2 linked regions of the Lonchura striata genome follow. The protein of the gene in region 2 interacts with the protein of the main gene of each other region in a pairwise test. Links are inferred from orthologs where the notes say so. Each region holds a gene or a part of one and is shown on either strand. Other genes may lie near its edges.

Region 1 (7,215 bases), on a different chromosome or scaffold from region 2:
TTCCATGGGGTTATTAACATAGGTACATGTGTAGTCCCTTGGTCACTGCTTCCTTTATTGCTTGCTCTATGTTTGAGAACTTCCATGTATTAAGACACTTTACAATCCCATTTTTCCCCTCTTTACAATGACAGCTCTCTGAAAGGTATTGTATCACAGCAGAAATAACCTTCCACCTCCCCAAAGCAGGAATCAGGATAAGAATGCTGAGGGACCCCCTCCAAGCCCCCAGAAACATTACAGAACACTTTTCAAATCTACTGCACACTCTATTCAATAGTCTTATTTCACTCTCCACCAACAAAAAAAAACCCCAAAAAGCAAACCACCCTCCTGTGAAGTTCTGCCCCAGGACAGGATTTGCCTAGCACTTCTGAAGTTAGGGCTGTGCATGTGTGAGCAACGCCTTCAGAGGGCAGATCAAGTAGAACAGGCTTGAGCCTGGCATCCCGACCAACCAGCCTCAAACTCTGTGGCCTAGGACCAACCTCAGCCAGTCTGACCTTGCTCATTCAATAAACTTAAGTGTCAACTAGAATTAGACAAAAGAAATATTTGAATTCCAATAGTTAACAATGCTTAGTACAATAATTGAGTGCTTAATTACCAGCATTGTTTCCATGATATACTGGTGTTAAGAGCCAACAAGAGGAGCTGTATTTTTAATGTTTTTAAACAGTTAGAAGAGTACCACATTACACAATATATGCCACGTTGTGAATTCAGGGTTTTTTTTATTAAAGATTAAAAATAAAAAAAACATTTGACACCCTAATATACATAAAGTCACAATAAATTCAAATGTGCTAAAAGCAAAATGTGCATAAAGACACTCGTTTCTAAAAGGCACCCTGTCACCAACATCTTTTAAAACGTCTATTTCCACCAAGTTTCTAGTTTTCTCTCCCTTTGCTAAAGGTGAGACTTTAGGCTGCTATCAGGTACAGACACCCTTCAGGGGTCTATGCTATCACTAGAACGCTTAAAACCGTGCATGCAGACTTAGCTCCAGCTTCTCTCGGCATTAACTATCACGATTTAAAATGCACAAGGGTTTTTGCTCAAAAGGTAGTGGTGTTTGGGCCGCTTCTAAGGGCCAAGAAGAAACAGAGTTATAACTGCTGTGTCTCCACCAGAGAGCTCTGCTACTACAAACCACTTCCCTCCTCCCCCCCCCCCCAATCCTCTCGTAAAAAAAACCCCAAAAGTTACAAAATGCCACACACGGGGGATGAAATGTTAACGCGTTCCCGATTAGGCTGTCAGGGTGCGACAGCATCAGTGCCGAGTCCGCAGTGACAGCGCTGCCAGCCGCGCACACACTCACAGACAGACACACAGACACTCACACGGGCAGGCACACGCACGGACACACGGACACCCACACCGAACCGCAGGCAGGTCGCGCTGACTGCGCTCCGCTGTTACCAGGGTCTCCACATGGATTTGGGCGAGCCGGGCGAGGGCAGGCCCCGCGTCAGGGACGCGAGCAGTCCGTCCGTGTCGGTCTGGCCCGGGCCCGAGCGGGTCTCCGCGCCGGGGCCGGGCAGCGCCGGGCCCGGGCGGGCTGCGGCCGGCGGCACCGGCGCCCGGCCGGCGGGCCAGGGCCCGAGCGCCGGCTCCCCGGCAAGGTCCGTGAGCGAGTCCGGGCAGCCGCCCTCGCTGAGGGGCATGGACTCCAGCAGGTGGTTGAGCAGCTCGGCCGCCGTGGTGGCGTCGATGCCGGGGCAGCTGGAGACGAAGGTGTGCACCTCGTGCATGCACTGGATGTAGCCGGCGGCGAAGCGCTCGCTGGCCTCCAGGAGCCGCCGCCCGGCCGCTGCGGCGCGGGGCGCAGCGAGGGGCGCGGGCGAGGCGCGGGCCGGGCCGGCCGCCCCCCGCCGCGCCCCGGGCCGGCACTCACCGCGGGCGCGGCGCTCCAGCGCGGCCCGCACCCGCCGCACCGTCCGCTCCAGCACCTCCGCGTTCTCCAGCTTCGCCTGAAACTGACCCGGGGCGCCGCGGCCGTCAGCGCGGCCCCGGGCCCCGCCGGCCCCCGCCCCGCCGCGCCGCCGCCTCACCTCGCTGTCGGCCAGCAGCAGCCGCAGCTCCCGCAGGCTCTCGTTGATGCGCGCCCGGCGCTTCTTCTCCACCAGCGGCTTCCTCGTCTGCGGGGACAACAGCGCCGTCAGCCCGCCCCCCGCCGCCCCTCCGGGCCCGGCCCCGCCCGCCGCTCACCCTCCGGTCGCCGCGGGGCCCCGCGCAGCCCTCGCCGTGCGGCGGGCGCTCCGTGCCCGGCGCCATGGCCGCTCCGCTCGCTGCGCGCCGCTCCCGCCCCGCGCCGCCGCTTTTATACCCCGCGATTTGCATGTCAATGAGCCCATTGGCCGCGCCGCGCGGGCCGCGCCGAGCGTTGGCCGAACGGGCCAATGGCGGCCGCGCGCTTTGTCTGCGGCGGGGCGGGGCGGCCGGAGCGGCCCGGCGCTGGGCCCGGGCCCGCAGCGGGCGCGGGCCGTGCCGTGCGGCGCCTTTCCGTGCTGTACCGGGCCGTGCTGTGCCGCGCCTTTCCGTGCTGTACCGGGCCGTGCCGTGCCGGGCCGTGCCGGGCCATGCCGGGCCGTGCCGTACTGAGCGATGCCGAGCCGGGCCGGGCCGAACCGGGTCGTGCCCTGCCGTGCCGTACTGAGCCGGGCCGCGCCCCTGCCGGCAGCGTGCCCCAGTGAAGCCCAAAGCCCAGCGCCCGTTCCGGGCCCAGGGCCGCGGAACGCCCGTGTGTGCGCGCCGGGGTGCTCGTGGAACGGAGAGCACAGCGGGGCCGGCTAGCTACCGGCGGGGCATCAGCACCGACCTGGGCGTGCCAGAGTCGGTCTGAGCCGTGACCGGGAAGCCGTGGGACTAAGCAGGCACAGCTGGCCACGGAACCGGTCTTGTCCTGCCCGTGCCAGCGGATGGGGCGGCTCTCGGGCCGGGGCGCGGTGCCAGCCCGGCAGGACGCGCTCCTTGCGGCCGTGGCTGTGCGGGGCTCCGCGGCTGCTCGGCGGTGCAGCGCATCCCCAGCCCCGGGGCTGCTCCCTGCCCGGTGGCCACGGGCAGCGGAGAGCTCGGTGCCGCCCCGGCTGAAAGAGCCGCGCAGCTTTGTGCGGTAACTTGACGCTGATGACAGTTGGCAGCTGCAGTTCCCCGGCAGACCGAGGCAAATAAAAGCATTAGGGCTCGTCCCCGAGGAGAGCGACAGGTGTTCGCTCCCGCTCCTTTGTTTCCCTGCTTTTATTCTCCTCGCTAATGCGTGTCATGTTTTTGCCGCCCGAGGAAACGGGAGACGCGTTCCCCGCTTGCAGCGGCGCTGGCGGCGCGGAGCCGCCCGCTCGCTCCCCTCCTGCTCCGGCTTCCTCCCGGTTTGTCTCCCCTTTGCCTTTGCTGGTGCTGAAGCTTTCCTTGCGGAGAGGTCTGATGAGCTGGAGCCACGGCGGGGTGGGTGCCGGGCGGGCCCGGCGGGTACCGGCACCTGCTCCGGGAAAGGCCGGGCTGGCCCTTGCTGCCGGCAGTCCGCCGCTGCTCAGCGCTGCTTTTCATCTTCAAAGCGCCCTGAAAAGCTCCGTGCCTACGCCGTGCTAATCCCTGTGTGACAGGAGAGGACGGAGAGGCTCGGCACTGCCTGCCCAAAGCCATCACGGAGTGCAGAAGGATAAAGCCAGGCCGTGGGATATCCTGGCTGGAGACCTAAGCTTGGGCCACTCTTTGTTTTGTATCACGGTGGACAGGAGGTGTTGTTTTCAGAAAGGTGTTTTCTGGTGTGTTTTGTCCTTTTATGTGAAAGCATCAGTGCTTGGGTTTTGTCAGAGTCTGTTCAGGTGGTGACAAGTTTCCCTGCACCAGGCAGGAGCAGAGTGGGATGTACTGGGGGCTGGATGCCTAAATCTGTCCTTCTGCCTCTGATGCACTGAATTCTCTGCGTGACACAATGTGGCAAGCAGCTCATTCTTTTTGATGATATAACTAGTGCTGGCTAAGCAGAAATACTGTTTGGACCAGGCCAAATACAGAACATTCTTGTACTGAAGCAGAGACACCTGTGACCATTCTGTGCCTGGCTGATGCATACTTAGCCTACCTAAGTGGCAGGGGAGAACCATGACTGCGTGCATGCAAACTGCAGCAAAGTAATGGGTGTCACAATTTTGAAGAACTGTCCTTGTTCTGAACCAAAACTAGGCACCTAAGGCATCAGAGGTGTATAAAAATACACAAATGCACACAAACATCCGGTAAATGTGCTGTAACACACAATGTATGTAATTGTTGGTAAAATATGAATTCCAAGCGTTTGTGAGCTCTTTTTCTTTTCAGAGAAAGCTCAGCTTTTCCTAGAATGGGAGTGGGGGGAAGTGGGTGGGCCTGGTTACTGGTGGGGGTAAAAGCAAACCAAACAAATATTCATTTATTCCCTGCTCAAACAGTGAGATTAACACTGGTGTAAATCCTGTGCAGTCCCCAAACCTGCCAGGCCTCTTCACTGCAGGTGTTTGTACCAGCTGTGTTTCACAGCTAACTTGGGTTTGAGGCACTGCTTTGTTAACGTAGAGAAGTGAGAAGGGAAGGAGCTCCCGAATTCACCCCAGTCGAGGTTCAGATGTGTCAGATGAAACTCTGGTGGCTGCTGAACAGCAATGATCTCTCACAAGCCTCCATCTGAGTTTTTGAGCAGTGAGGAGCTGGAGGCACAAGGTGAGCACTTCTGGATGCACGAGGAGACTTCAGCAGCAAATCTTGGCTAAAAATGGCCAGAAAGAGTTGGCCATGGCTGTACCATCCTGTTTCTGCTCTGACTGGGCAGGTGCTGATGGCAAGGCGTTGTACATATTGCTGGCTCTTGTTCTGCAGCGTGTCTTTTTGTATTTTCTTTGAAAAGCTGCAGGTCAAATGAGTTGACAAATGCTGGAGCTGTTTGTGCAGGGCATTAAAAATGCATGTGCCATAAATATCAGGGCATCACTAGAGCTGCTATTCTGGAGGAGGAAGTCACTGCAGGCTATCTCCTCTAGCCCACAGGGACAATGTGACATTTTTGTGCTACTTTAAACAAGTTCCATCACATCAGGTGAAGCGAATCATGGTAATCTCATGCATTTTAATAGAAATGTCAACTGCAATCTAGTGAAAGAGAACATTGCTTAGATGCCTTGTCCAATACCTCGGTGTTTGTCCATGTGTGGTGGCTCCTGAAGATTTCACTAAACCCATCAATTCATCTGTATTTTAACCAGGTTAAGCCCATCCTGCTCCCTGCTGAGGGGATGTGTACAGGCACTGCTTCCTCCTGCATGAAGGGTGGGAGTTTAACCTTTGCTAGAGCAGGGAGCTCTGTCCTGCCAGAGACAGGCTCCTACACAAGCTATAAATGGCAGTTTGGCCAAGGAACAGCATCATTTTAGCAGAGATAATAGCATCTGGGCCTTGCTGCATGTGTTCTCCTGCAAGCCTGTGTGTAGAGTAGTATAACACACTATAAAACAGGCTTTAATTCTTTCTAGGAGGTGCATGAGCACTAATGCAGCTGTGGTGACAGTGGCAAGGGCAATTGTGGGAGGCCATCCTGGAGCCTCAGCTATGTGCCATGCATTTTGGAGACCCAGCTAAGTGCCAGATCCTCATTTCTGACACGTCATGGCCTCGCACGCTTCTGTTTCAGTTGGCAGGTGCATTTGGAAGGTCTCTGTCTCCCAGAAGAGCATTCACAAAGACATAATAAAGCTCAAAGCATTTTTGAGTACTCTACAGGCAAGTGTGTCTGCCATGCATGCCCTTGGACTGGAGTCAGGAGGTGACCCAGGCTCTGTGTGAATAATACAATCAGGGCACGGGATAAAGACATGATGAGCATGCACAAGGTCCATTGGAAATGCTTGAGTAGTTTCTTTCATAAATGGTATAACATCTGTTGTCACTGGAGGCACAAGTTCCTGTCAAAAAGACACGTCATCCTTATAAATATTAATGGTGCATATAAATGGTGGTGGGTGTGAACTGTGGATGTGAGGTTAATGGGTGAGCTGCTCCTTATGCATCAGTTGGCTGCCATCGGACTTATTTCTGCACTAACAAATACAAACTGTTTAGCTGGCAGAGCAAGCCGAAAGCTTTCTTCCCCCTCCTCCTTTCCCTGGGGTCCAGTCACAAATGAAATGTGTACTGTAATTAGTCTCTTGCCTTGTCACTGATGAAGATTAGTCCTGCTTGCAGAGCTGAGGAGCAGAGGAGTGAGGCTGGAGCTGGAAGAGCTGAGGCTGTAGGTGATAAATGGAGTGAATGAGGAAGGCTGTTGGGAGAAGGCTGCAGCATTCCCCATCAGCTGGATCCTAGCTGCCCTCAGTGCCATCGATTTCTCTGCTGTTAATAGCTGATGTTTAAGAGGAAAATAGGGTTGAATGTCACCACTGAGCTGCTCTTGGACTCCAGTCTGTTTGTTACTGCAAATTGTGTTTGCTGCCTTGAGCACTGAGTTCCTGCTGCCCTTTTCAGAAACCATAAGGCTTTTCCTATCCTTATTTATTTATCAGCAGACTTGGCAGCAGTGCTAGTGTTCATCAGCTGGGGCACAGAGGAACAGTTCATGCCAGCCAAAACACTAATGAGTAGCGTTCAAAAGGGTCTTATGTCCATTCACAGAGGAGCCCCTCGACTGCATTTGTTCCTGTGGAAGCTGGGGGTCCCTTTTGCCTGAGAAGACGGGCCCAGCCTTCTGTCAAAGGTACTTTGACTTTTTGCCATTTCAGAGGTGGTGATTTCCTAATGGAAGCAATGGTGAGGGGCTGTGCTGAGCAAGCAGAGAGGAGAGCAGAGCCTCTCCCGGTGGTGAGGGATGGATGGGTGCTGTGCACGGGGGCACTGCCCCAGCAAAACCCTCAGTGCCATGTTTCTTACCTTGTCACCCTGCTAGCCTCCTGCAAAGAGAAGCCTGAACTCATAAAGCTTTGCAAACTGCTTCAGCTCCTGCCATTTAGCTGTGGTCTGTCACTGACTGTGGCAGGATCCTGTTGCAGAGAGCATCGCCTGGGCACATTATGTTTGTGGAAGGTATTTCAGAGGGGTGAGAATAATTGTCTGAAGCAAGTACAGTTGGATAAAAAACTCCAGAGGCTGCCTGTGGTGCTGAAGGGAGCAGTAACATTGTGTTTCCAGGGAAGCCTCTTGTATTTGATGTCTCTAATATTTTTGGTAATTGAAAGTTATCTTTAT
Region 2 (7,703 bases):
AGATCTTTCCAAGTCACTAATCTGTTCATACCTCTATAAGGCTGGGATATGAGTAACTATGACTACATATGTTACACAGACACAGGATCAGTTCTACATGTCAGCGCCTATACCAGTAACAAAACAAACAAACAAAAAGAAACCCAACTCAAAATATCTCATACTTGCAAAGAACTGAACTGCATTTTTAAAATCACAGCTACAAGATCTTTTCTATTTATGCCAAAGTCTTTCAGAACCAATACCAAAAAAGGTGCTGCCACTTAACCTAATCTACACCTTATCTGACAGGAGGTAGGCAAAAGACTACTAATCAGGCTACAAATCAGGCTATTGATTCAGACACGATACCGTCATCTGACCATAAACAGCACAGATACATTTAAATGCACCAGACAGACTGCAGATTTTGCGGCTTCGAAAACAAAATGTCTTACCTGTTTGTGCATTTCAATGTTTAATCCATACGACATTTCATAGTACTGCAAATAAATGAGTACACGTTATTTTCTTATGCTGACTTACATTATATTAAAAGATATTTATTGAAATAAAGATAAAAACAAATATACTTACCATCACATAATGCCTCTGCATTTCCGTCTTTTCACTTGCCAGTTTCTCACATTCCAATTTAAGGCTACAAAATAGATCATGCTTTAATGTAACATGTCATTTTTTTTGGCATCTACCCTCCCTATTTGTATTTTGACATAAGCTGCTAATTAATAAAAAAAATAATAAACTGACTTGCAATATAGAAAGACTTAATCATACTTGAAATAAAAAGGCCAAAGAAGAAATTTAAAGAACATGCCTTGAGTGCTGTATTAGGCCTGAACTGTCTACAGAAACTAAACATATCCACTCTTCCTATTTTGACAAAGAGCTGCTATTAAGTGCTGCAACTTGCAAGTTAGAATAGGATCTGAATTTACTGTAAGTACTTTTCAGGAGTAAAAAAGATAAAAATAGAAGCATTTCTTTCTACACAGCATTTAGTAAGTGACTGCCAAGTAACACCACTCACATTTACAATTACAACTCGAGTATAATTCTTACCTTAAATACATTCTAGCAAATGTTACCTTGCCCAGTGCTTGAAAACTGGTAATTCTGAGTATCGTTTACTGGCAAGTTTCTTTTCCACTTTTGTTTTCATAAACAAAAGTAAGTTGCATTTACATGTCTCATCACAAACCATGATATAATTCTGACTACTTTCACCGAGAGCCTCAATGTTCCCTTTGTTTTCTATCAAACTGATTTTTTTAAAACTGTTACTTGTGAACATCCTATTGAACAGTTCATGTGCAAGCAGTATTTTTCACTCACAGCTACAAAGCCAGATGTTTAGAGTTTAAATTGTATTTCCTAAGCAATGAATGGCTTAAGCAAGTTAACGCTACAGTATCATAGGTAAAGGAAGAGGAAGCATAACTAAAACAAATCAATTTCTGACTGGGAAACCTGTAAAGCTTTTACTTCTGTCCAAATATTCCAGGTGCTCATAAGTACAAAATCAGTGAAGATTAATGCTCCTTAACACCACATGTCCAGGGTCAAAAAGAATCTGTACCCTAAATCTCTGGAAGGACCTCAGCAGCACGCACACACCCACAAAGAAGGGCAGCAACGAGACGTGCATCCCGCAACTTCCAAGGATTCTGGTAAACTTTGTTACTGCTCTGAGTACTTGTTTGTTTTAACCGTCCTTCCTGACTCTCAACCACAGGACGCTGGCATTTTATTAATTTTTGCATTAACACCACACACAAATGAGCAAACAGGAGAAGTAGCCTCCTTAACGCGCTGTGCCACAGAACCGGCGCAGGTCTTCCCGTGATACACTGAAATGACCCCTCCACATACGGGTTCCCAAGACACAGCGTGTTTTTTCAAACGCACAGAGCTGCCGAACGCTCCAGTTTCGGCAGTTCAAGCACGGGCCCGCGCAGGGCAGGGCTGTCCCCCGTGCGCGCCCGGTCCCCCCGGCAGCCCGCGCCGGGCCGGGGCCGCCCGCGCTCCCCTCCCGGCCCGGCGGGGTCCCCGCGGGGCTCGGCCGCGACGCCGCACGCCACCGCCTGGACGCGCCCGTTCGGTGCAGCCCCGCGCCGGCGGGGACCGCGCGGTAGTCCCTGGTCCCGGGGCGGCCCGCCGCCGCTCACCTGTGGTACTGCGCCTGGAGGAACTGGAACTCTTCTTTGATGCGGTCCAGCGACTCCGGGATGGTGAATTTAAAAGGCTGGCCCGCAGCCTGGTGCGGGGTCTGGCGCGGTGGCGGCACGGGAGAGAGATGCACGTTCAGACACTGCGCGGCCACCCCGCGAGGAAGAGGAGGGGGCGCCGTCCATCGCGGCCGAGGCGGAGGGCTAGAGAAAGCGTCCGGCCCGGTCCGCCTCCGCCCCGGGGCGCAGCGCACTTGTTACCCACCTTCCCGTCCCTCATCTGCGGTGGGACCGAGGTTAACCGCCCTCCGGATCCGACCCACCCGCTCCTGCCGCCGCCGTCTACACGAAAGCGGGAAGTGCCGACTCCTCCCCGCCGACCCCCGCCGCAGAGGCACAGCCAGCCCCGTTCCGGGCGCTGTGTGTTGGCGGATGCTGCCTGGCCCGGCGGCAAGCCCCCGCCGTCCTTCCCAAGGCAAGTAAGTTGCCCACGCAACAAAAAATACTGGGGGCCGTTCCGGCAGGCAGGATTAGCCGCTCGACCCCGGAGAGAATGAACTTGTGAGGGCACCTTCCTCTCCCTCCCCCCAGTTCCAGCCGAGCAACCGAGCTGGAGCTGCGCTGCGGACCGCCCGGCCCTCGCCCCGGACCGGCGGCCCAAGCCATACTTACGGGGTGCCGGCTCTGGGGGAACATGGCTCCGGCCACGGCGGGTCTCCCTCGCAGCGCGGCTCTCGCGGCGAGACGCCCTGCCCTGCCCCGGCTTCACACCCGGTGCGCCAAGGGGACCGGAGCGGCGACACCCGCCGACGGCCTTCCCTCCGCCGCCGCGGGCAGCAGCGGGGCGAGGCGCGGCTCAGTGCCCCCGCCGCGGGGACATTCCCCAGCCGCGGCGTCCTTTGTTGCTGTTGTTCCAAGGAGGGCTGAAGATGGCCGGGAAAGGCGGACGAGCCGCGCTTGGGACGGTCACCAGCGCTCTGCGCTCTTTCGGCGGCGCTCCGACCGGCGGGCGGCGCCCGCAACGCCCGGGCGCGGCGGGACGGGACCCGACGGGGCTCGGGGGGGAGGCAACAGCCGCCCCTCGGCAGGAGCGAATAATCCCCTTCACGGGCTCGCAGTGGTCGATGCGATTGTAAGGCCGGAAACCCCAGGCGGAGGCGACTCTTCTCTTCTGCCCCTTGTCAAAAGGGGAAAATCCAGCCGGAGGGAGGGGATCGCAGTGTCCGCGGCGGGAGCGTCGCAAGCCGAGGGGGCGAAGAAAGTCTCCAGGCAGGCACGCGTTGCTCCCAGGCGTCGGCGCAGGGGCCAAACCACCCGCAAGACACAGGGCGATGAACAAGGGAGGAAGGCAGGAGGAGGAGGAAGGAGGCGGGCGGGGGCTCTCGCACAGACGTCGCGGATCGGAGCAGCTCCAATAGCAGATGCACGAAACGCTGGAGGGCAGAGGAAAGGGTACCACACACGCAGCACAGACTCTGCCGTTAGTTGCAGAGAAGTCCCCAGGACAAAAGGAAAGCAAACCCCTCAAGATGCTCGCTGGCTTTAGCCTCCAGGCAACCAGCCCCGTTGGGGAAGATTAAAAAAAAAAAAAAAAAGAAAAAAAAAAATAGAAATGAAAGCGTTCGTTTGAGGTTCAAATCAGACGGGAAGCTCCTTCGTGCAACAGCCACCACTACAGCCTCTTACTGGCGGGCGCGTATCTGGGAGCTGCGCGTCTCACCAGAACCCCCCTATCGCGATACATCGCGGCAACATCAGCAGCATCATCCTCATCCTCGCTCTCCTCCGCGGTGGCCCGGGATAAAGTTCCTCCCAGCTGAAAAATCCGAACGGGAACACCACCGGCTTCCTTTGCCCCGGCCCCTCCGCGCCGGCCAAGGGCAAGGAGAAGCCGAGGCGGCGGCCTGGCGGGCGGCGCTCGGCGGGACCGGAGCGCGGCTGCGGCCGAGCTGGACACGCCGAGCTCGCCCGCGCCGCTTACATTAGCACGCGGTTTCACACTCCGCCGGCTAACCAGCCGCGCGGCCCCGCCCACGCCGCCGCGCGGGGGGGCGGCCGGCCAATCGCCGGCCCCGCCGCCAACGTGGGCCCGTGACGCGGCGCGGCCCCGCGGCCCAATGGCAGGAGCCGGAGTCGCGCCGCCTCCCGGCTCTCGCTGGGCCGCGTCTCTGCGGCGGAGCGGCGGCCGCGCTCGGAGCCGGCCAATGGGAGGGCGCGGGGCGCGCGGCGCCGCGGGGGGCGGGGAAGGTCGGCGGGAAGGAGAGCGGGGAGGCCGCGCTGTCCGTCAAAGTAACGTGGGGCCCGCGCGCGCGGGCGGGGCTGCGGCAGCGGGCGCGCGGCGCCTGCGCGCGGCGGCTCCGCCGGAGCCGCGGGGCGGCTCCGTCCGGCTCGGGCAGCGCCTCAGCTCCGCACCGCCCGCTCCCCCTGCGCTGCCCGCATCACACTGCCCGCTCCGCACTGCCCGCATCACACTGCCCGCACCGCACTGCCCGCTCCGCACTGCCCGCATCACACTGCCCTCATCACACTGCCTTCATCACACTGCCCGCATCACACTGCCCGCATCACACTGCCCTCATCACACTGCCTTCATCACACTGCCCTCATCACACTGCCCTCATCGCACTGCCCGCTCCGCACTGCCCTCATCACACTGCCCGCATCACACTGCCCGCATCACACTGCCCTCATCACACTGCCCGCATCACACTGCCCGCTCCGCACCGCCCGCTCCCCCTGCGCTGCCCGCATCACACTGCCCGCACCGCACTGCCCGCATCACACTGCCCTCATCACACTGCCCTCATCACACTGCCCGCATCACACTGCCCTCATCGCACTGCCCGCATCGCACTGCCCGCATCACACTGCCCTCATCACACTGCCCTCATCGCACTGCCCTCATCGCACTGCCCGCATCGCACTGCCCGCTCCGCACTGCCCGCATCGCACTGCCCGCTCCGCACTGCCCGCTCTGCACTGCCCTCATCACACTGCCCGCATCACACTGCCCTCATCGCACTGCCCGCATCGCACTGCCCGCATCACACTGCCCTCATCACACTGCCCTCATCGCACTGCCCTCATCGCACTGCCCGCATCGCACTGCCCGCATCGTACTGCCCTCATCGCACTGCCCTCATCGCACTGCCCGCACCGCACTGCCCGCACTGCCCGCTCCGCGCCCCAGCCCCAGAGCGGCGGCGACGCCCGTGACAGTGCGGCGGGTGGGTCGGGCGCACGGCCCCACCTCGTTCGCCAAACGGCGGCGGCGGGGCCGCGGCACCTGCTGACAACGCGCCGTGGAAAACGCCGAGGGAAGGATGAGCCCTCCCGCGTGCTTGCGCGACTCAGGGCACGCCAACTGCCGTGTTGGTTGGAATGACCCTCTGATCCCACGGAAGCTGTCCTTTGGGGAAAACTGCCTTCTTTTTAAGAGGGGTCTGATAGAGGAAAGCTGTCAATAACTTTGGTTTATAGGCCCACTTGAGATAGATGAGGGTCAAACAAATTCCACAGGCTCTGTGTGCTTGCTGAGGAGATGACAAATGGTGACATAGCTTGCAGTGGGAAGTACACTTCAAAACATATCCTCTATTAGCAAGCACCTTATTCATAGCAGAATTCCACAATGAAGTGTGAAATACCTCTGGACTTAAGACATTGCCTTAATACACACTTTTGCTGTTGGTATATACTTGTGTGCTGCCTAAAAAGAGGTCTTAGAATGTTGAACCACATCATTTAAACATGGTAAGGGTATTTTTTATAATTCCCCACTAGCCTTTAGAGATTGCTTCCTTAGAATTACATTGTGGTTCATCTTGTATCCTAAAGAAAGAGCATTCTGTGTTTAATATTTGATAGGAAATCTAATGTTTTGCAATATCAAAGTAAAGCTTTACTCCTTCAGAGTGATAATTTCCCATTATTATTCCCAAAATGTTCTGTATTCCCAGTTTTACTTAAAAACATCCAACACAAAAGGGAGTGAAATTGTCTCAGTCTTCTGCAGTGAAAAGTTTGGACTTTGTTCCAGGACAGCAGAGTTTTGTCAATGAGCACTGATACATCTGTGTCTCCGTGCATGTCTGTATATATGTATACAATAGGGTCTATATATAATGGGGTCTATATATAATGGGGTCTGTACCTATACATATGCTTGTATGTTTCTGTTAATGCATATGATGCATATATGCATGCATCCTGGGGAATGCATAAATAAACATGGACTTTTAATGGTTTCTAAGAGATGTGACAAAATATCCTTGATAGTGAGCTTTGATAGACTGTGGTTCCCAGGATGGGAGTGTAAACTTGTCTGGTGTTCCACCTGCATAGGCAAAGCTTAAAGTCTTGCATTCTGTTCCCAGCTCTTCCCTTGTTGTGTTGGACAAGCCAGCTCACTGCTCAGTTCATGGCAATGGAAAGCTTAATTACTTAATGCTTATTAAAGTACTTAGATCTTCAGATGAAAGGTGCCATAAAAATGCAAACTATGATTATATACTTTGTGTGTGTATCTAGTAGCTATGGAGTCTATAATAATGTAACAATTACCTAAGTTTTGTTGTACTTTGCTTAACCTGCTGGCACAAGTTGTTAAAGAGACATTGACAGATATGACATTAAAACAACACTAAGTTTTGGAACATAAACAAAAGGGGTTTGGTTTTTTTCTTAATTGCTCACCTACATGAAAGTTGAAATGTCATGTTACCTATATTTGTCAACATTAAAACATCCAAGGCATGTTTTAACAGAAGGAGAAAAGCTCTGTTTTCCTGGTTCTTATTAACAAGTGCTTTTAACCTTCTTTGATTCTGGAATCAGACACTTAAGGGCATTTTGAATCTTATCCATTGTATTTAAGAGAGAAGAGCTGTACAAGCAGAAGTAGAATCAAATGTGCTCTTTTTTTTTGTTTGTTTTTGTTTTTGTTTTGTTTTGTTTTTAATGAGAGCTACTGACATTACATAGCAGGAATTATAACCAACATGATCTGATGTTTAACTAATTTATAATGCATCATCACTGGCTCATTAAAGCATGAAAAAAATTCGTTTTGTTGGATGGGTATAAATCTGGATTAATTCCAGGAAACTGAACATTCTCGTTCCATGGCAATATTCACTATTTACTCCATAGAAAGGCAGCAAAATATGGTTAAGCATGTTGTATTCAAGTAGGTAGCATTCTGCCACAATGCTGTATATACTCTACACAATTCTCCAACTGGATTAAAAATACTTGTTTTTAAATTTCTGTCTCAGGTTTCAAAAATAAAAATATTTCCTTCAGTATTAACCCTTCCAACTGTTCTGCCCAGTCATCCGTTTTACTCTGTTGTTTGAAATAAATTGTTTTTTACTGTAAAAATGTTTGTGTCATCTTCCTACCTCATAAAGCAAAAGGCCTAATCCTAAACTGGCTACCAAAAATTCACACTGGAAGCAGTTGGAGTTTTGAGTGAAAAAAAAGCATGCTTGGGTCCAAAATGTAGGTTAAATACGCTGAAAGAGTTTCAGATGT

Evidence for each region.
Region 1: the proteins of transducin-like enhancer protein 1 (region 2) and transcription cofactor HES-6 interact in binary tests that used the Homo sapiens proteins (3 or more experiments, as listed by UniProt). The link is inferred for Lonchura striata from reciprocal best matches to the Homo sapiens genes TLE1 and HES6.

What each region holds. Positions count from the first base shown.
Region 1 is NC_134612.1:2,192,256-2,199,470, forward strand, and holds transcription cofactor HES-6, read right to left. Parts: upstream 2,284-7,215; coding exon 2,218-2,283; intron 2,148-2,217; coding exon 2,061-2,147; intron 1,986-2,060; coding exon 1,904-1,985; intron 1,820-1,903; coding exon 1,425-1,819; 3' UTR 708-1,424; downstream 1-707. UniProt on the Homo sapiens protein: Does not bind DNA itself but suppresses both HES1-mediated N box-dependent transcriptional repression and binding of HES1 to E box sequences.
Region 2 is NC_134642.1:25,609,879-25,617,581, forward strand, and holds the start of transducin-like enhancer protein 1, read right to left. Parts: upstream 3,198-7,703; 5' UTR 2,865-3,197; coding exon 2,841-2,864; intron 2,523-2,840; exon of another isoform or gene 2,449-2,522; coding exon of another isoform or gene 2,434-2,448; intron 2,270-2,433; coding exon 2,169-2,269; intron 641-2,168; coding exon 577-640; intron 483-576; coding exon 438-482; intron 1-437. UniProt on the Homo sapiens protein: Transcriptional corepressor that binds to a number of transcription factors. Inhibits NF-kappa-B-regulated gene expression. Inhibits the transcriptional activation mediated by FOXA2, and by CTNNB1 and TCF family members in Wnt signaling.